4 linked regions of the Notamacropus eugenii genome follow. The protein of the gene in region 1 purifies or fractionates together with the protein of each later gene. This does not show direct contact. Links are inferred from orthologs where the notes say so. Each region holds a gene or a part of one and is shown in the gene's direction. Other genes may lie near its edges. The genes, in order: MAPK9, DUSP16, MAPK8IP1 and DUSP8.

Region 1 (7,720 bases):
GAGGGGCTTAATTGTCAGTAGTTCCGAAGAGATACTTTTATCTGTATTGGGCTTTACTCTTACTCCAGGAGACTACTTGCAGCTTTGATCCGTAATTAGCAGGTTTCTGCCAAAGCTGAAATGAAAACAGAAACTAAGCACAGCTGTTGTCTCAAAGAAGGTGTTAAGTAGAAATCCAACTTCCTGCCTCTCCTTCCTTTTCTTTCTTTAATCAAGTGATCAGAATTCAAACACCTTACACTTCCTCCCAATCTCTTTGCTGTCTCAGTATCTTTATTATACAGTCCAATATATGCACATAAAGGTGTCTTTGTTTGAATCCTTGTGGCATCCTAAATGTAAAACTTTTGAAAAGTTCCAGTGTTCCCCTTCTTCATGCTTTTGGCTCTCACCCTTCAAAGGCCCTGACTTTCTTTTGGGGGAGCTGGCACTGGGAGAAACAATCATTTATTAAGTGCATGGTGTCAACCTGAAATTGTAATGAAAACAGTCAATACAACAAAATGGAGGTCTTTAATCGGGACAAAGGAGTTGTGGCTTGCAGTACTGCACAGCAAGTGCTAGGGTACCCAAGGAAGGGGGCTGGGAACAGAGTTTACATAGAATATCAAGGCAGAGAGAATGACAGTGGTCACTGGTGGAAGGGGTTAGGTATCTCACAGTATCACCAGATAATTTGTTTTCTATACCATGCAAAGGTCTTAAAGAAAGGTACGGAATCTGAAGAGGGGAGAGTTTAAGAGATTTATAAAATAATCAGAGGCCAGAGTGACAATGTTTGGTCAGCCCCAGGCAATTCATTGGCTTGGGAACTTAAACCAGGTCAGGATCAGCCAATTCTCAGTCAATCATGCTTGTCAATGGCATCATGCCAAGGGTTTATTTAATCCTCACAACACCCCTGCCAGGTAGGGGCCATTATTATCCCCATTTCACAGCTGAGGAAACCGAGGCAACCAGAGTTAAGTAACTCGCCCAGAGCCACACAGCTAGTGAGTGTCTGAAACCAAATTTGAACCCAGGAAGATGAGTCTTCCTGACTCCAGGGCCAGCACTCTGTACACTGTGGTGCCACCTTGCTGCTCCCTTTCTATTATATGGCAGAACAAAACTTCTCTTACTGTTAGGTGGTCTATAGATGTCTTATTTCATTTCAATCTTGAATCTGAACTACTAGACTATAGTCTTTCCTGGTTTTCAACACCAGCCCCAGGGACCTCACTATAACCATCTTCTTGTCATGGTGTGCTTGACTGCTGCCATGTACCTTCCTAACCTGGATTGGCAGCTTCTACTCAACTGACCCATTATGACACCTATCTGATGTACTGCTGTACCAGTCCTCCCACTTTCCACCTCTTGTCTGGGAACTGTAATCAAATCAATACCATCATTGCTTACAGAAAGAATTCAATGATTGATCAAGTCTTAGAAATGGCTTTCCTGCTTTTTAGGGAAAGAAATTAGCTTAATCTACAAGGCAGAGACTCTTGTAGGTACTACTTCTACCACATTTGGCTAGATGGAATGTTTTATTCTGTTTTTAATAAACTTCCCTTCTCAATAAACCTCTGCTCCCCCGGGGGGGTGGAGAAACAACTTTGTATATATTTTGTTTTTATTTAAGCATGTACATGTTGTCCCTTCTCTGCCAATAAAATATAAGCTTGAGGGAAAGGATTGCTTTATTCTGTCTTTGCATCCCTTTCACTTAACATAATACCTGGCACGTAGTAAGTGCTCAAAAATTCTTGTTGTATTGTCCATCCTCTAAGGCACTCTCCCATCTCTCCTAATGACTTAGTCTTCCTCTCTAATTCAACACCAGCCTTCATAGTTGGTGACCAGTGTTCACATTGATGACTCATTTATCAACCTCAACTTCCATGACTATTTTTAAAGGTCAAGTTGGCCCTTCTCTTTGAAAGGTCAACCCCTCTATATTCAGGCTACAACCTTCCTTTCCAGCCTTATATCACATCCTTCTCCTTCATGAGTTCTGCTTCTTGTCCAAATGGACTACTTACTGACTGTTCTGATTTAATCGGTGTGGCAGTGTCAAGGTAATGGATAGAGCTCTGACATTGGAGCCAGAAAGATTTATGATTAAATCCCAACGCAGTGACTTACTAATTATATGATCATACAACATAGGCAAAGCACTTAACCTCTCTAAACCTCAGTTTCCTCACATGCAAAATGGGGGAGGTCATACTAATCTCACAAGGTAGTTGTGAGGATCAAAAAAGATGACACATGTAAAGCATCTTATAAATATTCTTAAAGTGTCAGGTATTATTATTATGTATCTCAGGCCAACTGCCATGTCTAAAATGCTCTCCCTTTCATTTGTTTGTTCATTCATTCATTCAGGAAGCATTTATTAAGCACCTCCTTTGTGCCAATCATTGTACCAGGGTTGGGGATTCACAACAGAAAGGGAGCAGTGTTGGCCTTCAAAGAGCTTATATTCTATTGGCTAAGGAAGAGCATGTACACAAAAAGGCAAATACAACATATTTACAAAGTATTCTTGGGGGCTCATGGGCTCTAGTAACTGGAAGGTGGCACTTGAGCTGGGTTTTAAAGGATGCCACAGAGTCTTTGGGACAGAAGTGAGGAGAGAATGCCTTCCAGGCATGGAGCATAGCCTAAGCAAAGGTATGTCTGAGGGAGATGAATGTATGGGAAATAAAAAGTAAGCCAGTCTGGCTGAAATATAGAGTGCACATAGGGAAGTAATGTGCTGTCAGCCTGGAGACTTAGCTGAAGCCAGATTGCAAATCACTTTAAAAAGCCAAAAGGAAGAGGCTGTATTTTATCCTAAAAGCAACAGGGAGCCACTAAACCTTTTTGAGCAGGGTAATACTATGGTCAGACCTTTACTAGTGCAGGTGGCTCTGGACAGAGTGCTCTCTCTGCAGTCAGGAAAGCCAGAATTTGAAACCAGCCTCAGATACTTATCAGTTATGTGGACCGGGGCAAATCACTTCACCTCTGCTTGCCTCAGTTTCTTCATCTGTAAAACAGAGGATAATAATAGTATATACTTCCTAGTGTTGCTTTGAGGATCAATATTTGTAGAGCACTTAGCACATAGGAGTGCCTGGCATATAGGAGGTTCTATATAAATGCTAGCTATTATTATAACATTAGTAATATTTACTTGGCATCTATGTAGAGAATATATTAGAGGAGAGACTGGAAGCATGAGTCCAATTAAAAGGTTATTGCAATAGTAGAGGCAAGAAGCGATGAGGGCTTGAACCAGGGGTGGCTATGTAAGTAGATAGAAGGGAATAGATTTGAGAGATTTTGGAGGTATACTCAACAAGATTTGGCAACTTATTCGATTTAGGGGGTGAGGGTGAAATCAAAGAGTAGAAGACAGAAAATTTGTATGGACTGATACGGAGCTAACAGAAACAGGAGAACAATTCATCCAATAACAGGAATATTATACAAACAAAAAACTTTGAAAGACTTAGTAACTCTGTTCAACACAATGGCCAACCACAATTCCAAAGGATTCAAGATGAAACATGATGCCAACCTCCTGATAGAGAGGTAATGGATTCAAAGTATATAGACTGAGATTTATTTTTAACTTGGCCAATGTTGCTTGATTATTCATGTTTGTAAGAAGAGTTTTTGTTTTTCTTGCTTTTTCAATTGGGGGAGCTCCGGACATAGGAAGGAGAAAAATGAGGATCTGAAAATAAAATAAAATTTAATTAGAATTTTTTTTTACAAGAGGATGAGATTGAAGCCTCAGGTGTCTGAGAGAACAGTGGTTCCTTCAACAGAGATAGGGAAAATAGGGACTCAGAAGGGTGGGGGTGAGCAAGGTGGGAAGGAGGGAATTAGGATTTGAAACTAAAATAAAATTTAATTAGATTTTTCTTAAAGAAGCCTAGGAAATGATTTTAATGTGGAAGGCTTGGGTGACTGGGAGAAAAGAGAGACCATCAGTTGTTGTGTTCGTCCTTCGTTTTTTGAAGAGGACCATGACATCAATAGGGAAACACAGGTGGCATGGGGGTAGGAGGGAAGATAATATGATGACTTCTGTTTTGGACATGTTGACTTTGAGGTGCTTGAAGGGCATATGATTTATATCCGGTTGGCAGCTGGTGGTACCAGACTAGAGCTGAATACACAGGTGAGTACGTGCACTGTATAAATTATGTATACGTATATTGTATATAATACATGCGTATTCGGTTCGAATCTTTCCTGAACTCCACCAGCTGCCCATAGGCTATCATCTCTGCGCAGAGATCATTGCTGAATCTATGGAAGCTGATGAGTTCACCAAGAAAACAGGTAGGGAAAGAAAAGCAGAGAGAAAACAGTCTTGTCCACAGCAGGCGAATCATCGATGCGGGTCGAATGAATGAGCTAACCGGCAGGTAAGCCCACTGGGTTCAGGTGTCTACCTGTTCCCACACCGGCTAGGTGACGTGGGCCTGGCTTGCCCTCTCTGTCCATCAAAGGTGACGGGATCAATGTTCCCTTCTGAGGAGGGTTTAGAACACCTGCCAGCAGAGGTCCACGGCCCCCCCTCCAGTCCAGCCCAGGCCAGCCACACCTCCGGCCAGAGGCGGCCCTCCCGGCAGCCCCGGCTCCAGGGCCCCGCCCTCTCTCAGGATTGGCTGCGCCGGGCCTCGCTTTGCGCTCAGCGATTGGCCGCGGTGCCCGTCGGTCCGCCGAGCTGGGCCCCCGGCTGCTGAAGACGGAGCCATGAGCGGAAGGGCCTGAGCTCGGCTCCCAGCTTCGGCTTCGCACCCACTGCGGCGGCGGCGGCGGCGGCCCGGGAGCTGGGGCTGAGCCCTGAGCGCCGCCCGCCCGCCGGCCCAGACAGCCGCGGGGAGGGCAGGTGAGGCGGCAGGGAGGCGGGGAGTGGTCGGGCCGGGGCGCGAGCCCCGGACGGGGAGCCGGGGGCCGGGACCCGGGACCCAAGGCGGGTGGGGAGTGAGGCGCCGGGTCCTCCTGGGAGGAAGGGGAGGGGGCGGAGGGAGGGCGCGAGCCTTCGGCTGGGCCCGGGGGGCTGCGGCAGCCGGGGCAGGGCCGGGCGGGCTGCGGGCCCCGGGAGGCCGGCTGCTCCTGGCACCGCGCCCCGCTCCTCCTCCCTGCCCGGAGAGTGCCGCATTCTGTCTGTCGGAGGCGCCGGAGGGACCCGCGCCCGTGCCAGCGCCGGAGCCGGGCCAAGGCTGGGTCCGGGGCGCAGCATCGCGAGGCGGGACCCCAGCGCCGCCTCTCCCGCCCCGCCTGCCTGCGTGACCTTGGGCCGGCCCCTGCCGCCTCCTCTTTGGCACTCGGTAAAACGAGGGGTTTGGCCTCAACGATCCCAAGACCCCGCTAGCCCCAGATCTTCGCATCCCATCCCCCTTGGGGCTGCGGGACACCCAGGTACGCCTGTGTGCAGCCCTGGTGCCTCCCTTCCCAGCTGTCATTCTTGGGCTTCCTCTTTCCCCCTCCCCCCATCTAGAGCCTCCCTGGGGACCACTGCCTCCCACTCCACAGTCCTGTGCTTGATCTTGAAGTGCTCGTGCTTTTCATCCCTCCCTCACACTCATTCGGTGAAAAGGTAAAATGAGGAAAACATACCTGTCACCTAGACTGAAGCCTCCTCTCTTCCCCCGATTCTTCAGTTATCATTGAAGAATTGCATAGCATAGCAGACTCAGCCGTAAGTGACCCTATTTCACATTAGTCCTAGTGTGTAAAGTGTTTGACTTCCAACAACCCTGGGAAGTAGGTAGAGCTCGAGTTATTCCCATTTTACAGAGTAGGGAACTGTGACTCAGAGGTCTTAAATGATATGCCTGAAGTCACACAGTTTAGCAAGACGCAGAATGGAAATCAAACCCTGGTCAGACCCTCTTGGCATATCTCCTAGGAGCCTTACCATCCACCAGTTTCTCAGACTCTCTGTGCTGAACAGTATTTGTAGAGAACTGGAATGAGGGACTGAGGCCTTAGGCAAAGTTGTATTATTGCTCCTGTGGACCCCTCATCAGCATTAGTACATTTTAAGCATCTTGAATTAGATATTTTCCCAGTTTCTTCCTAGGGAACCTGGTAGGCTAAGTGAGTGAGTGAGGCAGAAATGTCTTCCAGGAAGAACCTTGTCTGCTCATCTCAAGCAGAAATTTAGGGTTGTTTAACAGCAGAAATGATTTGGCTCTTAATTGAAATATCTTATTTCAGACTAACTTTTATGTGGATTTAAGTAAATGACCTCTTAAAATTTTTCCCCCCTGTTCTGCCTGATTTGTTGCTACTTTTTAGATCCTGATACATTTCCTTTTGTTGGTAAATTTCCAGAACCAATAGTGAGATGAATGTTAACACTGACAATCTTTTAGCCAGTAATTTGCTACAATTCAAGAAAACATTTAACCCTGATTCAGTTAAGGTTCTTTATTTTTACAATGTAATTTTTTTTCCTTTCAGAGGTCTTCCTTATAAGTTAAAAATCCCATTTTAGTGGTCTTCCCTGGGGAAATTTTGATTTTCTTGAACATGTCATTTTATTCTCAAACTGTTACCAATTTAAATAAACAAGATCAAATTATCAGACCATTTAAATATTAGGTAAATTCATATTTGTCTCAATAGTAATTCAAGTCACATTTATTCCATTTCATAGCATTTGAAATTCATTGACCCAGATGTCACATACAGAACATTTATCAGTCTCTATCAAAGTTTCCAGAGCTAAGCACAATTCAGGCTTTAATTTCAACTTCTTTTTTCTTTATAATATTTACTGGTCTAACAGTGGTGAGGCCTATTTTCCCAAGCATATGAGAAATAGGATATCTTTTTTTTACATACTTGCCTTAGTAACTGAATTGTAACAATGAATAGATACATGTTCTTATATGCTATTAACTGTACTAAGAATCTAAATAATTGTCTAAAATCTTGTGAAATTTTGCCAAGTTAGAGTAGGGAAGGGGAAGGAATTCATGCAGATTTTCTATTGGCATTTGAGTTTGAAAAGTCACATCCCCTTGAGAATAATTCACCTATTTCCTTAACACTTGAAGAAATTAAATATTGAATATTAAAGTAGCATTTGATGTACATTTAACCTTATTTTAAATATTCCCTTATTAATCCAGGTACTTCCTCATATTATTTTTATAATTTCTTATATCAACATATTTTGTTAGGATGACTTCCTTAAAACTCTATCTGCCCCCATAGTTCCCTATAAAAAGTTAAGCAATGCTACCTAATATAGTGGTTTCAATTGACAATACATGTCATTTTCTATTTTTGTGGTTTATTGTTTAACAAAAATTAAGAATACATGCTTTAATTTTAATAATTTGAAATCAACATTGTCTATTGTATTTAGCTTTAGTTTTGCTGCCTTTTCGTGTTACCTTTAATACACAATGACTTTGGATCATAAATTTAGACCTGGAAGATACTTTGAGTCCATCAAGTCCTGTTCTTTCATTTTACAGATGAGGGATCTTGTAAATTTGGCAGGGATTTGGCTTTCTTGACTAAAGGTATTTCCACATTGCACTGAATTTTTCATATGTTTTGTTTCCTTCTGATGTACTATCTCACTACATTTATATACCGAACTTCTTTCAGCCATTCCCTAGTCATTGGGCACATAGTTTCTACTTTTTAACTATTGAAAATACTATTACTAGGAATATTTTGGTACATTCAGGTTCTTTCTGTCATTTAT
Region 2 (7,422 bases), on another chromosome or scaffold:
AGCTCCTGGAGGGTGGGATGGGGGAAATCATAGGATTACAGGTGTCCATTGGGAAGAACTGAAGTTTTGAATGCTGTGGATAAATTCATTTAACCTTGGTAGTGTACTTTCCAAGGATGTAAGCATTGACAATGAAATTGACGCACATACTGCCAGAACTAGCTCAGTATTCAGGAGGCTCTGAAGGAAAGTGTGGGTCAGAAAAGGTCAGAAGACTGACCACCAAGCTGAAGGTCTGCAAAGCCATTGTGCTGATCTCGTTGTATGCCTGTGACACCTGGACAGTACACCAGTGCCCTGCCAGGAAACTGAATTGCTTCTATTTGAATTGTCTTAGGAAGATTCTGAAGATCACCTCACAGGATAAGATATCAGACACTGAGGTCCTTTCTCAAACTAAACTGTCAAGCATTCACACTCTACTACAGAGAGTGTGGGCTGGCCATGTTTGAATGCAAAAAGTACATTTGCCAATTCACACATGGCAAGCACTTCCATTGTGGTCAGAAGAAGTGATACAAAGATACTCTTATGGTCTCTATTAAGAACTTCAGGTATTGATTGTGTGACATGGGAGACACTGGCATAGGACTGCACAGCATGGTGTGCCCTCATCAGAGAAGGTGCTGTGCTCCATGAGGAGAGCAGAATTGAAGTAGCTCAAAAACAAAAACAAAAACGCGAGATGCCTAAATTTATAGAATCCACCCCAAATGGGCTATCTGTGCCTGATCTGTGGTAGAACATTCTGAGCTCATGTTGGTCTGATCAGCCATGGTAGGGCACACTGTAACTTGACTCTAGCATAGTGATGTCATTTTGATCCTCTTTGAGAATGAAACAACCAACCAAGAGATCATCTAGTCTGATACCCTCATTTTACAGATAAGGAAACTGAAACAAGTGAGGTTAAATGATTTTCCCAAGGTCAAACAGGTTACAAGTGGCAAAGCCAGAACTTGAAAACAGGTCCTCTGTTTAGCATTCTAAGATTTAGCATTCTTTCCATCAATAATCATGGCCTACATCTTATATTTCTTGGCATTGGCTTGATAGCATCTCTAATTATTTGTTGAATGAATGAGGTATAAGGTTTAGGGTTCCAAGGAGTGAGCCAGTTAATGTAGGAGAGTCAGACCACAACCTATGAAGAGTGCTCCATTAATTTGTCCTGGCTCTTCCCCACATACTGCTTTCTTAGCTTTGAATGTTGTTCATCTACCTTAAGTTTATCAAGTGTTTGTCTTTTTCTGTTTCTGGACCAGACCTGTAGAAGTGGTGGGATGGCTCAAGTGCTATACTGGACAAGTCATTTAATGTCTTTCAGTCTCATTTTCCTTATCTGTAAAGTGGGGACAATAACATCTACTTAACTGAATTGTTGTAAGACTCAAAAGAGAATACATATATGTATATTTATTCACATATGTATATGTTTATATATATATTTTTATGGCACAACATTATTCTATTACATTCATATACCACAATTTGTTTAGCCATTTCTTAAGTGATATATGTGTATGTGTATATATGTATATATAGTATGTAAATAAAGATGTAGATACACATATGTAAAATATGCTTTGCAAATTTAGATCATGCTTCACAAACCTTGAAAGTGCTACATAAATGTTGGTTATTATTATCAGCACTTGCTTTGCAACTTCTATATAATTTTAGAGTTGCTTAGAGCACAGAGTTTCAGGGACTTGCATAGGGTCCCACAGCTAGTATGTACCAGAAAAGCGTTTTGACACCCATCTCTACACCTGAAACCCCCCATTTTCCATAGATCCTTACTTAACCTTTGTTATTACTGTTCAGTCCTGTCTGACTCTTCCTAACCTCATTTGAGGTTTTCTTCGTAAAGATATTGGAGTGGTCTGCCATTTCCTTCTCCAGATCATTTGACAGATGAGGAAATTGAGGCAAATAGGGTTAAGGGACTTGCCCAGGGTCACCCAGCTAGTGTCTGAGGTCAGATTTGAACTTAGTAAGATGAGGTTTCCTGACTTTTGTCTGGCACTCTATCCACTGCCCACTTCTTTAATCTAATGGATTTGAAATACATCTGTTTTCCAACCACTTTGTGCTGATGCTTGGAAATGAACAGGGCTGAAGAAATTCTGAACCAGCCTTTAGATCTGAGAGCTCCACAAGGTTCTCTATGGTGTACCTTTATTTCCACTTAAGTGAGGCTGAAGAGGCTACAGTGACATCTTCTGGCCACCAGGGGCCATGGACATGTCAGTCAACTTGATGGTCTTCTTCTCTTCCCCTAGCCCTGCTCCCCCTTTAAGTTAAGTTTTTTTTCACTTCCTGCCTAGGGAAGGACCAGGCCTTAAACCCAAATCCCTCTGGCTCTCACTGACTGGCCCAATAAGTTCCAGCCCAAGCCTCACTTGGTCCCTGGGTTTTGATGGCTCAGAATGAGTGTAAAGAGCAATTGTTCCTGTTTTGGCCAGAAGCTCTGAGGGTCTTCCCCTCTCAGACTGATTAAAATAAAAAAACTAGGTAAAATAGGCCATTGTCCCCTCTCCTCCCCTTTCCTTACCTAGCCTTAATCACTGAATGGGTGTTCTGTCAGACAAACTGAGACTTCAGAAAGACCTTAGCTTAAAAAGGTCAAGGTCTCCCCACTGCTCTGGAGCCATCTCCACTTGTCCTGGATGACGGCTCTGGAGCAAACAGTGAGGCTGGTGACTTTGCACAACCCCTCCCTCACTTAAATCCAATTTACTGCCAAGTCAAGACATCACCTTCCTAAGGTCATCCGTCCCCTTTGAGAGGTGACAAACACTAACACCACCGCCTAGGAAAGACAGTTTTGATGTTCCCCCAGGGACTGGCTCAGTTGTTAAGGACTAATAGTAACCATCTAGTCGGTGAGTTTATAAAAACAAACCTTTCCTTACTCCTTTGTCAGCCTAGTAAGTTTCTCAGTCCTTTCTCCCATTGAAAAAAGTCCTTTAGGGAGTTATGCCTAGGAATATCACATAACCAAAGATGTGCTTGAGGGCCATTATAAAGGCAAATATGTTCTATGAGCCGGATTTTCCCAGTATATAAATTCTTTGGGAATACAGTTGGCTTGCCTGGAATCCCCCGTGTGTCCTGGGGCACCCCTTAAGGCGCTAAAATGATACTCTGGGGGTCCGACAGCATTGCCGCACCTTCCCGAAAGTGCCTCACGTAGTCCTCGGGACGACTTTCCACGCCCGGCAGGACCTGGCTCCCGGAGCGGAGCGTCTCCACTCGCAGTGCGCTTCCCAGCCGTCCATCGCATCTCTGTCACTCGAGATCCAGGCGAGGACTCCGAAGTGCGCCGAGGTAAAGCGCAGATTGACCGACTGAGCGGTCCTCAGCCCGGGTCTGTGCCGCCCCGGCGGGTCTCCAGCTGTCCGAGGATCGTCGCAGACAGAAGGCAAGACAAGCCCATTTGGACTTGGTTGTCCTTTTTAAAAAGCCTGTTCTGGGGCGCTTTTGGAGGAGTCTGTGTGCGCGGCGCCCTCCGCCCGGAGACGGCACACCACCGGTGTCCTTGACGTTGTCAGGTGTATGCTTACTGCCTGAGGATCATTAAAATGTGTTACTTGCTTCTGCCCCGTGAAGGACAGCAGCTTGGGAAACCTGGGCTGGGGGTCTTTCACCTTACAAACAGCGGTGGTTTGAGAAGTTTGGCCGGGGGGGTCCGCAAATAAGAAAACTCGAACGGGAAGCAGTAACATGTTTGTTTTAAAGAAACCTTTGGGATTTATGGGTTTTTTTGGGGAAAAAAAGATCTGGCTCCCAAACGTAAACTTCCTTGGCGTTAAAGAACCCACTGAAAACACCCCTGGAAAACGAGGAGGGCAGGGGAACATCCGGGGACCATCCGTCCTCAGGGCAGGAAAGCCTAGGGGGCACGGAGGGCGCCGGGACGGAAAGGAGGAAAGAGAAAGGGAGGAAAGGAGAGAGGGAGGGAAAGAAGACAGAAAGAGGCGGGAACTAGAGGGAGAGAGAAGGAAGGAGAGAGGAGCGACGGATTTGAATAGCGCCTCATTGTGCAGACAGGCTCCTCCCCGCTGCCGCTTCGGAACCGAGCGGGGAAGGACGGGGCCCGTCGCCGCGCCCAGCCCGGTGCCGCAGGGGAGACGCGCCGCTCTCCTCGAAGCGCCGAGCCTCAGCCCTCAGCCCGGGCTCGGGCCGCGGCACGGGGGAGCCGGGGGAGCCGGGGCGGCCGTGTCCGCGCCGCGCTGCGGGCTCTTCCTCCGCCTGTCCCCTCCTTTCCCCCGGGCTCTGCTGAGTTCATTCACTGGGATTGGTTTCAAGTGACGCCATCGCTTTATTTTTAAACCAATGACCTCATCCTCGCTTGAAGTTTCCTGACCAGCGACTCTTTCTCTTTGCCCCTGGCCCTTCCCCTCCCCCTGCCTTTCTCCCCCACTTCTGGGTATCACCGTGTTTTTTTCTGGGGGAGGGAGATTTAATTATTTTAGGGAAACACTCTCATTGCCCACCGCCCCCTCCCCGGACTTTCTCCGCGAGTCTCCTTGGGCTCCCGAAGTTTTCACCCTCTCGGACTTCCCTCTGAACTCCGGGCAGGTTGGGGGGTGGGAGAAGAGGAGCTGCACGTTTCCTCCCTTTTCCCCCCTCCCCTCGCCGAGCTCGCGGAGGAGAAGATAATAAGGGAGAGGAGGAGGGGGGGAGGAGGAGGAGGAGGAGGAGGAGGAGGAGGAGGAGGAGGAGAGGAGAGGAGAGGAGCGGAGCCGGGCCGGCGTTGGCGGCGGCTCCTCGGAAGGGGAAGAGCCCCCGGGACACGGACGGGTGACAACTTTCGTTTCTTCCCCGGCGAGCGAGGGGAGCGCCAAAGAGAGGCGGGGGAAAAGTAAGTGGGGTGCCGGGGCAGACGGCCGAGGGGGAGCGGAGGGGGCCGGGCGGGGGGCCCCGGGCGCAGCCGTGCGCCCGGCGGGCGGCGCGGGCCCAGCCTGTGCGGCGCGGCGCGGCGTGGACCCCTCGGGGCGGGCGGCGCGGCGGCGGCTCTCGGGGTTTTCATTCACTTTTCCCCTCCCTCCCCCCCTTTTTTAGAGGTGTCGGGCCGGGGAGGGACCCGCAGGCCTCGCCGGGGGGTCCGCGGGGTGCTCGGCTCCCGGGGCTGGGCAGGGGCCGGGGAGGGGGGTCCCCTCGGAGCCCGCTGCCGGGAGGCGCCTCTGCTCATTTCCAGGCGCGCCTGTTTGCCCCGCGCTCCGGTCCGCGGGCGAGTCCCGCGTGGGTCCGGCCGGGGAGGACCGGAGGGAGGGCAGAGGCGGTCCGGATGGTCGCTCTGAGGGGACCCCCGGCTCAGGTGGCCGGCTTATGTAACAATAACCGTGACTCCCGTTTGTAGAACCCTTCGGAGATCGAGCTCCTTCCTCCCCTCCCTCCCCCCAGTCCTAGCCCTGGCTTTCCCCCCTCGGTCCATCGACCAGCCTAGAGTGAGGGCCTACTGTGTGCCAGGCACCCGGCGGGCTCTGGGGGGCGCCCTCGGGGAGCTCACGTTCCCCGGGGGTGTGTGGGGGGTGTGGGCACGCCAGAATATACAAAATATTTACCGTGTCAACACGAAGTAGTGGGGCTGCCCGGATGCAGGTCGGCTGCCCGTGATGGGGAGGGGGCGCGGTGGTGGAGCTGCGGGCATCGGCTTAGGCGCCCCGTAGGGGGTGGCATTTAAAGATTTAAAGCTAAACTTTGAAGGGAGGGAGCGATTCTGTAAGGCGGAGATGAAGAGTGCCTTTCGGCCGTAGGAGACCCACAGCGTGAGTAAAGACTCGGAGGTGGGAGATGGGTAATTTGGCCTGGAGCAAATAAATACGTGAAAGGGAGTAAGGTAATAATTCTGGAAAAGTAGCCCGGAACCAGGTGTTTTTGGAGAGATTCAGATGCTAAGTAGAGAAGTTTGTGTTCTAGAGGTGGATGTATTTGTAACTCTGACCAATGAAGAAGCAGAGGTGTTTGGTTTATTCTTAATGGAGGCTAGTAACTTTGGAAAAATAAGACTGAGTAGTCTAAAATATTTTGTTTTAGCAAGATGAACGGTTAATGAAAATCTTTTTTAAACAATCTATAACCTGGTCCTCACAGAATTTTGTGAGTTAGGTAGTGTAATAGTCCATTCATTTTTTTAACTGGCCAGGGGCAAACATCCTGGTGTTTTGAAGTCATCAGATGGGAATCCCTAATTTATTTTTTAAAGAAATCTCTGGAGCGGAGAACAACCTGTTGTACAACCTGGTTTGGAGAGAGTTCTGGGCTACACCAACCTTGAGTCTAAGGGGTATAAGAAAGTGCAGGATGTAACCTTTGAAACCTTTTGCCTCTCCAGGATTCTGTTTGTGATGATTTTTCACTTTGCCCTTAAAAATGAAGAAAACTCATTCAGAAAATGGTCAGACATTTTGTCTTACTGATTTTTATTTTAGTAGAACTTCATTTTCTAGAGGCACTTACACTGGGAAAACATGCTGGGAGAAGAATGCCTGCTTATATGTTGGAATTTATAGGGTTGATTGTGTGTATCATAGAAATACAACCTTTTCTTGAAAGTATGTAACAATGCCTCATCTTAGGTCAAAAAACCAGTCATTTTCCCATTCAAGTTCTAATTGAATTAACCACATTAGCAAATGGACACTAATCCAGACTTACAGGTCAGTTGATGTGACATCTGTGGATGCACAATTTAAGTAGTCATGATTAAGAGAAACTTACTGATTGTGTAATTGGCAGAAATGGTAGTCGGAAATAATTGAATTTCATTGTAAAGTGACTTAGCCGGAGGACTGCACTTTTTTGTTTTTCATAAAAGCATTTTTTCCTAAGTCGAGAAATTTATCAAGTACAAAGACTTTATATGAAATGTTAGTATTTTTGCATTTTTATTACATTTAATTTTGAGTTGCAGCAAAGCTTAAAATACAGTCCCTAAATGGAGTTTATAGATAAACCAGTCAGTGCTTACTGAATTGACCAAAAGTTCACAAAGGAAAAAAATAATTTGAAACTGAGGTCCTTATTTCTGTTGATAAAATAAGTAAATATAAATAAAGGAAAAAGTGATTACTGTACATTGACAAAGTCAACCCAAATATCAGCAGTATACATTCAGAGCTTAACTTATTATGATCATACTAATATAGTGTAGAAAAGTCTTCAGACTCTGGGCAGTGAGACAGTAACTAAAAGTTGAATGTATTGTCTTTTATTCTTGACAATATATATGTTTCATTTGGGTGTTTCTCTTCTAACTATTGGAATATCGCTATTCCAACAAAGTATTATTGGATAGGGAGAGGGAGAACAGAAGAGTAAAGTTTCACAGTTCTACCATCCTGGACTGAACCTTGGCATATCCTTGTTCTTTGGTGTAAAGATTCAATTCAATTCAGTAATCACTTATTAAGC
Region 3 (7,096 bases), on another chromosome or scaffold:
CCTTGGCTTCATGCACTGCCCCCTCCTGACCTTCCCCCACAGCTTTGGGCCTCCTTTCTGCCCTCACCCTTCAGCTGTTACCTTGCTCATTTCCTCTAGAAATGCCCTTTGTCTGTCCCAGAGTGGGTCGTAAGAGTAGGGAGCAGTGGGAAGTGGGGTTCAGTAGAACGGGGCCCTAAGCTCTCTGCTGACAGGACACAGACCAGCCTGATGGTGTGTGGACCATGGCAAATGTGCAAGAAGATGGGTCCTCAGAGTGGGAGTCGAGGTCCCTCCCCATCTCATTCAAAGATTGTACTCCCCCCAAAGAAGAAAGCAAAACCTCCAGTTCCTCTACCCCACCCTCTCCTTAATTTATTGGTGGTTGTAGCTTGTCCCCAGTCTGACCAGTAGATGGAGCAGGATGAGCCTTCTCCAGGCTTGGATTAGCCCTCCTTCCTCTCTACCTTAGACTTGCCTCTGGGGCCCACTGCCCCAAGCTTTTCCCCAGCTCATTCCTAAGGGAACCATGGGGACTGATGGCAATGGGCCCAGTGCCCTTTGCACAGAGACTTCTGTGTTTGAAAGGTATGGTGTTTTTCCCGTGGTCTGCCTGTAAAATATATCTTTGTTTTATAAACGTCTGACCTTGCCTGTGCTGTGCCTGTCCCATCTGTTCTAGCAGCCGCCAAGAGTGGGGGTGGGCAAGGCTGCCACTACTCTGATGGAGAAGGTTGTTCTCCAGACTCTAAATTGTGGGAAGGCAAATCCTGCTTAACTGCAAGCCTGAATCCAGGGTGGGATACTTTAGTAGAGCCATAGCACCCTCAAGGGAAGAGAAAAGGGGTCGCTGGAATCCATGGCTTCTTCTGGAGTCTGAGAACCTTGAATTCAGCATCCCCACGGGGAGTGGTGGGGTCTTGGCATGCTTCTGTACTAGCCTTTGGCCCGGTATGAATATTGCTGCAGCCTTGTTGATACACCTGCTGGGAAACTTTATCAGGAAAAGTTTGTTCAGCACCTGCCTGAGGAGCCTCAGTCACTGTTATAGGATGGCATGCTTCTGGTCTTGGTCCAGTGGTGCCATGGCACAGTGCTCTGGCAACCCAGCCTTCAACTTTCTAGTCACTGTGATAAGTTGGGTTGGCCAAACCCTGGCCCTTAGATGCCAGGCATAGCCCAGTGGGGATGATGGTGTCCTTCCCCCACTCTTGGCATTGATTTTGAGCAATGGCGCTTTCTAAACTAACCTTGGGCTAGCTTTCCTTTGATCTGTGTCTCATCTGGATTCTAGAGCATAAAGTCCAGTTTAAGCCCTAAATGGGTGGGGGATAGAGCCCAGAAGGAAGGAAATCCTTACCTCCCTATTTCATCCAAAAGGCCTCACAGGGTCCAGATTCCAGGATACCCATACATCCAGAAATAATCATTGGCATGCGTGAATCCCACTACAGAGGCTGAGAAGGCCCATAGGAGGCGGGCCTGATTTTCTAGCAGCAATGCCATGAAAAGGGCCTCTCCTAAGCCTTCAGGATGAGAGGAGTGGGCCACCCAAGGAGTTGGATCCTATGGATATTCCCTGCAGATGCTTTCAGTCTGACTGTTCTTAGCAGTGTTACATCCGAGGAGCAGGTATCTGTGGGGATTTGTGCCAAGCAACCAACTCAACAAATGTTTATTAAGCACCAATTATTACATACCAGGGACTAAGCAAGGCCTTCATAGTCTAAAGTAGGATATCGGCTTTGTGCCTAAGGAGCTCCCAGAGCCCACAGTCAGAGGGTAGAAAGGACAAGAACCCAAACGACAAGGATAAAGGACAAGGTCAGCATCAACTGGAGAGCTCTGCAGAGGAAAAGGTGTCACTTGAGTTAGCCTTAGCCAACAGTCCATTCTGGGTATGAGACCATGAGCAGAAGCACAGACACCTGAGGGGTCAGTGTAGATGGAGACTGAAGGGATGCAAAGTGGGCTAAGGCCAAAAAGCAGCTCGGGGAGGACTTTGAATGCTGGAATCGGGAGTTTGCACATCGAGTAGGCAATGGGGATCCTAACAGACACCAGAAGGAAGGGATGAGGTTACAACATTCAAGTCCTACAGAATTCCTAGGTTTAGGAGTGGAAGGAATCTCTCTTGGTCCAGCCTTCTCACTTTACTAAGGCCCCAAAAGATGTAGTTATGTGCCTAGGACCATAGAAACAGGTGGCAAAGACAAGATTTGAAACCAGATCTGACTTCAAGTTCAGCATTTATTCTATTAGCAGAAACCTATTCGGGTGGAATTCTGGGGAAGGTGCTTTCTGGGGCCAGACTTCTCAGGAGAAAGCAGGACGCTGTTCTGGGGCACATGGGGGTATGGAGGTGTGGATGCTGAGATGACAAAGAGATCCAAAGATACAATCCAACCTGTGGGGTTGGAGCCTGGTACAGGCTTCAGGGGCTCTGCTCTTTGCCAACACCCACAGCAATAAGCTGGCTTGTTAGATGAATTTCCATAGGAAGCTCATCAAGGGGATGTTAGGAGCTCCAAGGGCCCAAACAGCATAGGCACCAGTCCCTGGAGAGGGAAGAACCAAAGTAGGTATACTGGGAAGGAGCTACTCAGCCAAGGCTTTGTGTCAGTGGGGGGAAAAGGGGGGAAAATATAACTCAGAAAAAATCCCAAACGGCTAAGAGGTAGGAGAACCCGAGAGAGAAATGAAACTCAGAAGATCATGAAATTAATGGGTTGGTATTCAGGAGGCAGACCCTGTGCCCTGGCAGAGAAGACAGTGTGTTAGCCTAGAGAAGAGCCCTTTACAAGGAGCAAATGCTATCAAGGTGCTGAGAGAGAGTCGGTGAGGTGAGAAAATCAGACATTGCTGACAGCCTTGGGGGTGGGGAAGTCAGAGGAGGCTCGGATTAGGAAAGAGAGGATACAGTGTCTCTAGTCTGGGACTGATCTGGGGCTAGGAGGTGGGAAAGGGTCAGGGCTGGGAAGGGGACTTCAGAGGCCCAGAAAACACTCTGGGGGAGGGGGGGCAAGAGGAAGCTTGATGCAGGGGAGAGAGCATTGTCCTTGGAATCAACTCAGCCTTCCCACCCCTTAAACTGTGGGGCCTTGCAAGTTGTACCAGCCCACATTTCTCTGTAAAGTGGGGTTGGACTTGATTTCTATGGTCCTTTCTAGCCTTTAACACTCAAGCCTATAGTAGAGTCCAGATTTCTGGGACCAAATATTATCCAAGGTATTTGAGGAAGAAATGGGTCCGAGTGGGAAGACATGAATCTGGATGACCTTTGCCCTGCCTCCCCTCCTTTTCTCATTTTCTCTGTACAGCTTCCAAAGTGAAGGAATCTTAGAGAAGGTGTAGTCTAATCCCTTCATTTTATATATTATGAAACTGAGGCCCAGACCGAGAAAGGGACCTGTCTCGGGTCCCATGGAGAGTGAGAGGCAGAGACGAGGTTCCAGACCTGGGGCTATTTCCATTCCATCTGAGATCCAGTGGTAGGAGACTGTGCAGGTCCCGCATAAACAACAGGCTTTTAAATCTCAGTAATTCTGCATTCCCCCCCCCCCCCCCCCCCCCCCCCCCCCAGGGATGGGAATAATCTCTGAGATATTCTGAGGTTTGACAACTCCAAAATACGGTGGACAAGGTGGGGGTGGAGAATGGCAGGTAACCAGGGAATGGGAGGCTTCAGCACCTTGGAGAGCGGCGGCGGGGGCGCTACCCCGCGCTATTGGAGGAAGCAGGAGTGCCGAGGAGGAGAGGAGAGAGTTTCCCCTCTAGGTCCCTCGGTGTCCCTGCCACCCGGCCAGTTCCAACGCCGCGACCCTCTCCAGCCCCTGCTTTCACCAAGTCCCCGGCTGCCCTAAGTTCACCCAGCGCTGCCTGGTAGCGGATGCCCAGCCCCCAGACTCGGGAGCCGAGCCCTCCGCAGGTGCGTCCCGCCCCTTTCTCCTCCTCCTCCTCCCCTCCGGGAGCCTGATGGCTACAGCAGCAGCTTCTCCGCCCTTCCTTCCTCCCCCTCCCTCTCTTCCTCTCTCTCTCTTCCCCTCCCTTTCCTCCTCCCCCTCTCCCTCCTCCTCCTCCTCTCCCTCTTCCCCCTCTCCCTCCTCCTTCTCCTCCTCTCTCTCCTCCTCTCCCTTCTCCCCCTCTCTCTCCTCCTCCCCCTCCTCTTCCTCCTCTTCCTCCTCCTTCTCCTCTTCCTCCTCCGCCTTCTTTCCCTTCTCCTCCTCCTCCTCTCTGGCTCGCTCCGCCCGCCCGGATGGACTGGGCTGCGCCGGGAGAATGGCGGAGCGAGAGAGCGGCGGGCGCGCCGGGGGCGGGGGCGCCGCGTCCACGCCTGGGGCCTCCCCGTTCCTGGGGCTGCATATCGTGTCGCCTCCCAATTTCAGGTGAGAAGCGCTAGGGGCCCAGGGCGCGCATCCCCGCCATGCACTCTCCGCTGCTCGCCCTACCCCGGGGTAACTAGGGATCCCCTTCTCCCTTACCCAGGGCAGCGGCCTCTCCCCCCACCCCAGGAGCAAGTCCTTTCCGCCTTGGGGCTGGACTGGAAGGGGCGAGGGTGGGTATTCGGGTAGAGAGGCTGGGGCACCGAGGAGGAGGAAGGGGACTCCGGATGCCATTTCCCAGACTGTCTCTGGGTCCTCCTTCCTCTCCGCCAGAATTGGAGGTGGGGTCAGTGGGCGGGGGTCTTCTACCGTGGTGGGGAGGTTCTGGGCCTGCGACCCAGATCGCCAGCTCACATGAAGGTCGGCTATCCCTTGGTTGGTGGTGTCAGGAGTTCCAAGGTGGCAAATGCCTCCCCAACCCAAAGAAAAAGCTCTGGGCGGGTGGTTGGCCCTTAGAATGAAGGGGCCTCAGAGCCACGTGTCCTTGTCTCTCCCCCACCACCACTATGGGGAAGATGAGGTCTGTGCTAGGCAAAGCTGGCCTCCGTCTGACCGTATATGAGGTGAAGGAAGATTAACCTAGACATCCTGGGGGGTGGGGACATTGAATCTGGAGTAAGAAAATCCAGGCTTCAACTCAGCTCTGCTCTTTCATTGTGTGTGGCCGTGGGTAAGTCACTCCCCCTGAGTCTCAGCTTCCTCATCAATCTAAGGGACTGGACCAAATGATCTCTAAGATACCTTTCAGTTCTAAATCTTAGGAGCCTATAATGATGGGAGGGCCCCAGGAGAGTAGGGAGAGCGCCCTAGATATAATCTCCCTGAGTGATCTCTGAGGTACCCGGAGGCCTGACAACTTCCCCAAATGGGTCTGACCGAGTGGGAGCTCGGATGGCGGGAGATCGAGTAAAAAGAGGTTTGAGCACCTTGGAGAGAGACAGAGGTTCTTTGAACCACTTTCTCCCCAGCCGCTCTGTGAGAAAGAAAGAGAGGTCAGGGTAGCCTCTGGACCCCCTTTGCACCACCAGTCTCTATCCTAGCTCTTCCCGACTGGACCCAGACCTAGGGAATCTCTCCTACTTGGGCCGAGCTCGGTCCCTTAGCAGACATTTCACCTGGGGAGGATAGCCAAAGGAAGAGGAAGGAGGAGAGAGAAGGCTATTTTCTCTGTCTCCTCTACCCCCATCATTGACAGCTCCAAGCAATCCTGGGAAGGTGGTTCAGGATCAGAAGGGTCAAGTTGTTTTCAGAGGGTTTTTTGGGTTTTTTTGCTCAGCCTGGACTGGGTCTGGAAGATTCTTATAAAAGACCCTTATGTCTGGAACTTCTTTCCTTCTTTGACCTGCCCTGGAACAGACCCTGGAACATATAGGGTATAGGTCAAGGGGGGAACGGGGAGTAGGAAGCGTATGTGTGTTCAGATAAGTGGGAGGTGTGAATTCCAGTCACTGAATAATGTCATTCCTCCACCACCACCACTCTGCCCCCAACCCCAACCTCAGGAGTTTTATGAGAGTGAGCAGCACGTCTTCAAAGTGCTTGGAGATCCTTGGAGAAAGGTTCAAATAAACATCATTGTTCTTTCTCCTGCTAATAATCCTTCCCTTCTCCCTGGACACTAGCTCCCCCCACCCCCGCCTGGCAGTCTGATCCCAGCTGGGGCCCAGTGCCTGAAGGTTCCTGTGTCTGTGTCTGTCTCCTCCTGCTAGCACATGTCAGAGACTGAAGGCCCCCAGGAGGGTCACTAATGGTGCCTTCCAGCCACAGGGGCCCTTGAGACTTCCAGTCTGGAGAAGGGAATGGGAGTGGAGAGGAGCACCTGAGCCACAGTGGCAGTCTCATTGCTAATGAGACTGAGGTCATGGAGTGGATCCCTGTAGGGTCCCCAGATAGTATCCCCGACCTGGAGGCCTGGGATAAAGACTGTGGAGGGCTCTGTGGAGCCCATCTGCACAGAAGGAAGTGGGGTGCAGACAGCTGTGTGTGAGGACAATGATCTACCAAGTTCCAAGGCAGAAGATTCTTGCTTCAAGGCATCAGCCACACTTTGTACTTAAGCTGTTCCCTGCCCTTTCCCCTCCACCATCCCTTTGCTCTCACTTCCCAAATCCTCTCAACTTCTTTCTCCCTGACCCTCTCCCTCCCCCATCCTTATCCCTACAGTAGCTGTGACACCAGGCTCTTCACAGTCAATAGAGTATTTCTTTCACAGCTCTGTGAACTAGGAGGAGCAAGTATTGTCACCCCAATTTTCACTTGAGGAAATTGAGACACAATTAAGATTTCATGGCATTGTGGTGTAGATCTGGGTTAGGAGCCCCAAGTTCAAATTCCAGCTCAACCAATTACTGATATCACCTTGGACAAATGGCTCCTCTGAGCCTTAGTTTCCTCATCTGTAAAATAAGAATAATACTTGCATCTGTTCCGTAACGAATAGACTCCTATAAATCAATAGAAATAAGTTGTTCCTTTAAATGACTTGCCCACAGTTACAGAGTTGGTAAGTGGCAGGTTAGATTTTGAATCCAAATATCCTGACACTAAATTAATTTCTCTTTTCATAGCTACTTATAAACTTATTAGATAATGTCAGGGCATTAGAAAATTGGAAGGCACTAGAACAATTATCTGGTTTAACCCTCTCATTTTACAGATGGGGAAACAAAGGCTAATTGACTTGCCCAAAGCTGCATAGCAAGTTAGTGAAAGACAGCCTAGACTTTCCCAGGGGT
Region 4 (7,217 bases), on another chromosome or scaffold:
TGCTGGGTTGTCCCTACAGCAGAGGGGGAACTAGGGCACACGTGTGTCTGTGAGCCTTCAGCTGGGTGGAGGGGTCCCTAGATGTGAAGTGAGGGCCTGTATGACCCACCTTGGACAAGGAGCCAGTGCTCTCTGGTCTCAGGAGCCCCTTCTTTTACATGAGGGATGAGCCAGCTCAAAGATACCACCCAGCCCTGACACTTACTGTGCACCTCTGCTTTGGTGTGGTGCTGAAGCGGACAGTGGGAGATGGACTGGGATGATCTGGATGGTGGGGCATGTTCTTGTTGTCCAGGATGTAGGTGTGCAGAAGGTTCCTGCGAGGGCACGATCTAGACCAAGGGTCGGTCGAGGGGAAGAGATCATGGGGCAGTGTGTCTCTGCTTCTGGGGAAGGTCCCTTGGGCTGATTCTTGGCCCCCAGCCTCCCTGCCCTAGGAGGGGCCTTTGCACTGCTGCAGTCCTAGGTCCTCCGTGGCTAAGAGGCATGAGGGGCTTTGTCCCCTCCCAAGAGACACCTTTTGTGGGTGGCATGGAAGGGGGCCAAAGGCCCGTCTGAGCTGGGTACTGCCTAGCAGTTCCTGAGAGAACTATAGAATGGTAGGGTCCCCAGCTTGGGCCAGTCATTTTTTTTTGGACGTTTGTCTAGGACAGACCTAAATTGATCACTAATGGATCCTCTAACACTTCTGCACTAATAATCGCTCTCCTCTGGACCCCTGCATGGGTTGACCCAATCGAAAAAGGTAGGACTGGAGCAAAGGTTGGCTAGGGTCAGGACAGGCCCAGTAGAGAAGCTGGAAGGAGACCCCCACCCTTGAAAGCTGGAGAAAAGAGGCTGGCAGGGCTGATTAGAGCAGGCCTTGGAAACCCTTCAGAGAGCAGAGCCTTCAAGAGTAATGACCCTGAAGTCTGGCAGGCTGAGGATTTCAAAGCACTTTTCTCATAAGAGCCCTGAGAAACAAAGGATATCAGAATTTTTCTTATTTTTCAGAAAAGAAAACTGAGGCTCAGCGTGATTCAGTGGCTGGCTTACCCAGGGCCTTCCAGCTAGCCTACAGTTGGGACTCAAGGCTGCCCAAGATGGGTCATGGATGAGAGATGTTGGAGGCAGGGAAGTCAGTTTTGGAGGTTGTTGGCATTGGATAATAAAGTGGTGAATGATAGAAGGGTTGGGGGGGGGAAGACTCCGCTCAGCGTTCCACATCCTGCCCATGCCTTGACATTGGCCATTCCCTCCCTCATCACCTGGAGAACCCCTCCAGCCTCCTCGAAGGGACCTGCTTCTCACCACACCTCCTTCCCCTCTCCAGATTACTTGGAATTGACTTCCCTGGGACCAGCTTTGACCATTCCCCAGAGCCCCTGGTGAAGAGGCTCCCCCGACCAGTGCAGGGTCAGTCTACAGCTTGGTCTTGGAGAGGAACCCTGGGACACACAACTGGAGACAGACTCAAACCCCATGCTCAGCGATTGCCTTCCTCTCCAACAGTCGAGTCTCTGTCCCTGACCCCCCAATGGGATGGAAGCTTATTGAGGCTCTTCTCCACTTTGTCTTTGCATGCCCAGCCTGGAGCACAAGGTGCTTAATCAGCACTCCTGAATGACAGGCTGAGGAGCCAGGCAGTGAGGAGCCATGGAACATTCTTAAGCAGAGGAGAGCCTTGATGAAACTTTTTGTATTTGTTTCTTCTGCATGGGTGGAGCTCCTCCTACTGTTCCTCTTGTGTTATATCAAACTAGCTCCTCTGTATTTTGACTTGAGCAGGTCCATGGGTGTCAGCATCTCTCTCCCTCATTTTAGCTCAGAGGACCTCCCTCTTGCAAGACTCTGGGAAAGTCTCCTCAGGTGCAGCCCCTCATGCCTGTCAAGGTGTGGCTCAGATGTCTCCCAGCCTGCCTGGCTCAGCTTGACTCCAGTGGGCACAGGGCTACCCAAATTGTACCAGACAGGACCATTTAGGCTTGAGCTCAGAAACTTGTCCTAACCAAAAGATCTATGCCAAAGAGGTGGGAGGGGGAAGGGGGGAGGTGGTGAGCTCTCCTCTCTGGAGGTCTGTGCTTGTCAACTATTGAACACTGGAGGCAGAGGTGTGTTCCTCCAGGGCTCTGTGCTAAGACCAGCCATTCACATAGGAAAGGAAGCCTGCTCCTGCCCTCGATAAGCTGACATGCCACTGATGAGGAAAGGCAGGGAGACATATAATTACATGTACATTCATATGTCTATACATGGGACACATAAGCCAGCTTCTGACTTGGAGAATGAGGAAGGACTCCTGCAGGAAATGCTGCTCCTCCTGGAGCCAGGGCCTTGGAGAGTCAAGGCTGGGGAAGAGGGCACGTGCCAAGCACAGAGGCAGCATGAAATAGGAAAGAAAAGGGCAGATGTGAGGAGCCACAGGCAGGTGCATTAGAGAACATGGAAGGGGAGAGATTCCAGTCATCAGCCTGGATCCCAAAGAGGAATCTGGATTTGATCCTGGAGACGCTTGATCAGGGGAGCCTGTGCTTTGGGAATCTCTACATTTCATGTGCAGGGTGGATTCTTGAGGGTAATAGCGAAGGTCATTTAGGAGGGAGGCCCATGTGCAGTGCCACTGGTAGTAGTGGGAGAGACAGACAGATCCAAGATGAGCCACTGGGGTGGAAACTAAATACATGGGGAAGAGAAGCTGAGACCCCAGTGATTGGAGGGATGCTGGCGCCCTTGGCAGAATCAGAAAGGTCTCGGAGCAGAGAGCTTGGGGGAAGGCTGGGGGCTGCCAGTGGCCCCCCCACTGCATCCTCCTGCAGTCCAGGCATGCTGGCATGAGGAGGCTGCTGCTGTGGTTGCTATGACTACCACAGAGGTGCTAACTTGCTAATGAGTCCCCTTGGGCCACAAATAACAGTATATATCCCAGTTAATTGGCCCAGGAAAGATTCCTTGGGACTACGCTGGAGGGCAGAAGGGAGGCCAAGCCTGGCCAGGGGACTATGGGTTTAGCTGGGGGGGAGGAAGTCACTTGGGATAAGGTCATCTTCAACAGAAGAGGCAATGGAGCTTTCTTAGGGGGTCACAAAGTTGGGATTTGAATCCAGACCCTTTACTCTACCGATGACATAGACCAGGAAAAGCCTGAAAGCTGAGGTCAGCTCCTGCTGTCCACAGCACCAGGGTGGGCACTCCATGATGCACAGCTGCCATCTTGGAATGTTTAAGGACTGAGCAGGCTCAGAGGGACAGTCACAACCAGGGTCCTGGTCAGAGACTCCCCAGTTCAATCCTAGAGGTGCTGACTCATCAGAACTCCTCTGGGAATCTTTTTGTTAAGTGCTTGGTTTACAGGAAGGGGGAATGGGCAGCAGGAGAGGAGGGAGAAGGATTACCATCTTCATGGAGAAGGGACCAGGTAACACAAACAATTGCTCCTGCCCTAAAAGGACTCCCATTCTCCTACAGGACATCCCAAGTAAACACAAAAGAAAGTAGGAGGTAAGTTTTCAGAGTGCTAACCCCACCCAGAGAAGGGCTCTTAGAGATGCTGAACCCTGAGAAGAGCTAAGGAAGGAAGGTCAGGAGGGGTGGAGCATAGTACGTGGAAAGGAGGGGTATGAAATCAACTTGGCTAGATCGGTGGGTCCAAGATGCTGAGGGGTTTGAATTTTACCCAGGAGACAGTAGGGAGCCAGGGTAGATATTTGAGTAGGAGAGTGACCTGGTCTGAATCTTCTGTAGGAAGATCTTTGGGGCAGCTGTATGTAAGATGCACACCAATTCCTGCCTCACATCCAGGAAAGAGGGGATAGGTGTCTGACAGGGAGTGGTGGCCATGAAGGAAGCTAGAGATGATGGTGAATACTGAAGGTGTTGTGTACTTGACCAGTCTGGTACCTGCTTGGGTGTTGGGCTGAAGCCAAGGGAAGGTCGCAGGTGATTCTGAGGTTGAGTTCCTGGAGGGCTGGTGGTGCCCTGGGCACAAAGAGGGGGTCTGGACAAGGGGCAGATAGGTGGCAGTCTGGTTTGGACCAGAATGTGGGACCTCAAGTGGAATGGCCAGCAGGGAGCTGTTGGGGTGGGCCCTGGGTTCTGGCTGTATTAATTTAGGTATCACTGGCATGGAAATGATCATTGAACCCATGGGAACTGGTGAGAACCAGCTCCTTGGGCAGGAGGAGGGAGTGAGGGGTGGGGGAAGGCTGGGGGGGAGAGAAGATATTTGGGGGTTGAGGTGAATGAGCTCAGCTGTGTTTGTTATTTTGGTTTTTAAATTTTACTTTATTTTGTTTCCAAATGAGAATCTACCTCCTCTCTCCCCTACCTTCTTCATCTCTCTCACTTTGTGAGCTTGTTGAGGGCAGCCCACTATCTTTTGTCTCTCTTTGTATCCCAAGGGCTTGGCATACAGTAAGGGTTTAATAAATGTTTTCTGATTGACTGACATCCCCAGGGTCACAGCTGAGCCAGGAGGCATCAAAATTGGCATATGAGGTCAAGGCTTTCCCATTTTCTGGTCTGGGTCACTTTCCACTGTACTCCCTCTTCTGAGCAGGGTCTGGTCTCTTCTCTTTCTGGGCGTCACTTTCTTCCTCTCTAAAATGAGGTGATTAGACAGCATGGTCCCTGAGGCCCATTTAGCTCATAAAGGAGTCACTCTGGAGACCCTTCTTGGAGGACCCCCAGGAATTCCCAGGGCCTCATGAGGAAGAGACCAGAACCATCCACCACCCAGAATAGGCTGCCTTGTGGAAGTGAGCTCTCCATCCCGCTGAGTGCTGGTGGGCTCCCTGGCCTTGTCCAGCTCTGAGAATCTGATTTAAAAGGGAGGGGCAAGGGGAGGGAGGCCTCCATTGCCCCCATCTCTGAGGATCCAATTAAACACTGTTTGTAAGGCTTAGCAGCACAGTGCTTGACACATATAAAGAGGTGATATTATGATGATGTTGAAAGGAGAGCTGGAGGGCCCCCTCAGAGCCATCTGTCCTTCTACTTGGGCTGTGCTCAATGCCTGCATTTCCAGGCATGCTCCCTGCTCTTTAGAGCCTGGCTTGAGGTCAGCAATGCAGCATCTTCTCTCTTTTCTCCTCCCAGTCTTGGGAGGAGACAAACTAAGTCTGTCTTGCCTTGGCTTTTTGTTTTGCTTGGACTTCTCTGTGAATAATGGAGGAGAAGCCCCTTGAGGGCAGGGACAGTCTCTGTTTGGCCCTTATTCTCCCTCCTATACACACACGTTAATAAATATTTGTCCAGTGAACGCCTCTGCCCGTATCCATTTGTTTGCCAAATCTCTGTCGCTCTTTCTCTGTTTCTGTCTCTGTCTGGGGAGGGGGAGAAGCAAGAGAATGAGCATTTAGGTGGCACCTCCGAGGTTACTGCCACTGTGCTAAGTGTTTTTAACAAGCCTCCTGTGCCCATCTTCTTCTCCCCCCCCCCCCTCCTCATCACCTCACACCTGGACCATTGCAGGAGCTGCTTGGGGGGGAGGGGGGCCTCCTGTCTCAGTCTATCTCACACTTAGCTCAAAGTGACCTTCCTAAAGCAACCTCTGACCTTGTCACACTGCTTTGTCGCAGCCCTTGCTGAGCCTTGACCTTTCTGTAGTCTTCTGCACCCTTATGTGCATTATGTGTGTCCCCAGAGGTTGGCAGCCACAATTATCCCCATTTTATAAAGGAGAAAGCTGAGGCAGAGATCGCTCAAGTGCCTTGACTTTGACCACACAAGTGGTAAGTGTCAGAGGTACAAGCCTCCTGACACCTATTCCAAGCCTCACTCAAGGGCCCCTCGGCAAGTCCAGTACCTCCACTTTATAGAGGAGGAAACCAAGGTTCATGGGGGTTAGGATGGAGTCCAAGGGCAGCTCTGCAAGGTGTACACAGCCACCCTTTCATGCCCTCTCTGGCTCCTTGGCTCCAGCCCCCATCTCCATGCCTTTGTCCTGGCTCTCTTTCAGGCCTGGGGTGCTCTCTTCCCTCCCCTCTGCTTCTAGAATCTTTGTCTTCCTTTGGGGCACAGTAGCATCACCTCCTCCAAGAGTCTCCTGGCTTTGGGTCCTAGCTGCATCTCCACCTCCCCACATTGTGTGTGTGTGGGGGGTGGGGTGGAGGAGGGAAAAGAGAGAGAGATCAGAGAGAGAGAAAGCAAGGAAATCAGGTGCAGGTTTGCCAGCCAGCCCAGGGATAGCTGACTCAGTGTGTCTCCTCTGGGCTCGGGTGGTCTGTGTGCTGAGTGTGGTAGGTGGCCTGATCATGGGCACAGGCTCAGTGGGTGAATGAGGTGGGGGAAGTGCAGGCATTCCTGGACTCTCCAAGGCCCACCAACCCTGCTGAGGTTGGAGAAGAACCCCTCAGGCTGAGCTTGGCAGGGCTGGAAGCCTCTGGGCACTAGCAGTTCTCCGAGGCTGGGCCCTCCCCCTTGGGGGGGGGGGGCGGTCCTGGCCATCCCGGCACAGAATTGAGGATTAGAGGTTTATGCTAATACTCCAGCCTGGTCACCCTAGGAAGATTACAGATTGCATTAACTGCAGACTGCCAAGGGATCTTGGTAGTCAAAAGCCTGGGGCGGGGGCAGGTCAACCTCAATTCCCACCCCTACCTCCTGGTTTATGGGTAAAACAGAAGGGAGGAAAGATGGAATAGCTTGTGCCCTCCCCTCGGAGCACCTGGGGATACACCTGGGCTCTTCCTAGGCCTCTGATCGAAGGGGCAGACTCCCCACCTCACTGGGTGACTGGCTGAGTCTTGGCACTGTGGCAACAGCCTCCTCCTGGTCTCTGGCTCAGGGAAACCTCAGAAATCCTGCAGGCAGCTCCCCAGCCCCACTCCGACTGCTCAATGGTGAGCGGAGCCCAGGAGCCCAGTGGGCCTGGCCAGCTGCTGATGGCTCCCTCTTGTCCCTCTCTGCAGGTCTGGCACCATGCGCAGCCATCCTGGCCTCTAGCCACCCCTCGCCCACGCCCCAGCAGCAGCATGGCTGGGGACCGGCTTCCTCGGAAAGTCATGGATGCCAAGAAGCTGGCTAGCCTTCTGCGCAGGGGAGCCGGGGGGCCCCTGGTCATAGATAGCCGCTCCTTTGTGGAGTACAACAGCGGGCATGTGCTCAGCTCGGTCAACATCTGCTGCTCCAAGCTGGTAAAGAGAAGACTACAGCAAGATAAGGTGTCCATCACAGAGCTCATCCAGCCAGCGTCCAGGCTGAAGGTAGGCAGCCCCTCCCTGCTGGGACAGGAGCACAGG

What was found.
Region 2: the proteins of MAPK9 (region 1) and DUSP16 purify together in Homo sapiens (affinity purification with mass spectrometry; 6 studies listed by BioGRID and IntAct, with this or other methods). This does not show direct contact. The link is inferred for Notamacropus eugenii from reciprocal best matches to the Homo sapiens genes MAPK9 and DUSP16.
Region 3: the proteins of MAPK9 (region 1) and MAPK8IP1 purify together in Homo sapiens (affinity purification with western blotting; 4 studies listed by BioGRID and IntAct, counting the BioPlex papers as one, with this or other methods). This does not show direct contact. The link is inferred for Notamacropus eugenii from reciprocal best matches to the Homo sapiens genes MAPK9 and MAPK8IP1.
Region 4: the proteins of MAPK9 (region 1) and DUSP8 purify together in Homo sapiens (affinity purification with mass spectrometry; 4 studies listed by BioGRID and IntAct, with this or other methods). This does not show direct contact. The link is inferred for Notamacropus eugenii from reciprocal best matches to the Homo sapiens genes MAPK9 and DUSP8.

What each region holds. Positions count from the first base shown.
Region 1 is NC_092872.1:415,957,446-415,965,165, forward strand, and holds the start of MAPK9 (mitogen-activated protein kinase 9), read left to right. Parts: upstream 1-4,707; 5' UTR 4,708-4,879; intron 4,880-7,720. UniProt on the Homo sapiens protein: Serine/threonine-protein kinase involved in various processes such as cell proliferation, differentiation, migration, transformation and programmed cell death.
Region 2 is NC_092874.1:198,461,538-198,468,959, forward strand, and holds the start of DUSP16 (dual specificity protein phosphatase 16), read left to right. Parts: upstream 1-4,414; 5' UTR 4,415-4,870; intron 4,871-5,576; exon of another isoform or gene 5,577-5,777; intron 5,778-7,422. UniProt on the Homo sapiens protein: Dual specificity protein phosphatase involved in the inactivation of MAP kinases. Dephosphorylates MAPK10 bound to ARRB2.
Region 3 is NC_092877.1:4,983,769-4,990,864, reverse strand, and holds the start of MAPK8IP1 (C-Jun-amino-terminal kinase-interacting protein 1), read left to right. Parts: upstream 1-4,094; 5' UTR 4,095-4,257; coding exon 4,258-4,364; intron 4,365-7,096. UniProt on the Homo sapiens protein: The JNK-interacting protein (JIP) group of scaffold proteins selectively mediates JNK signaling by aggregating specific components of the MAPK cascade to form a functional JNK signaling module. Required for JNK activation in response to excitotoxic stress.
Region 4 is NC_092873.1:26,331,254-26,338,470, forward strand, and holds the start of DUSP8 (dual specificity protein phosphatase 8), read left to right. Parts: upstream 1-4,213; 5' UTR 4,214-6,815; coding exon 6,816-7,181; intron 7,182-7,217. UniProt on the Homo sapiens protein: Has phosphatase activity with synthetic phosphatase substrates and negatively regulates mitogen-activated protein kinase activity, presumably by catalysing their dephosphorylation.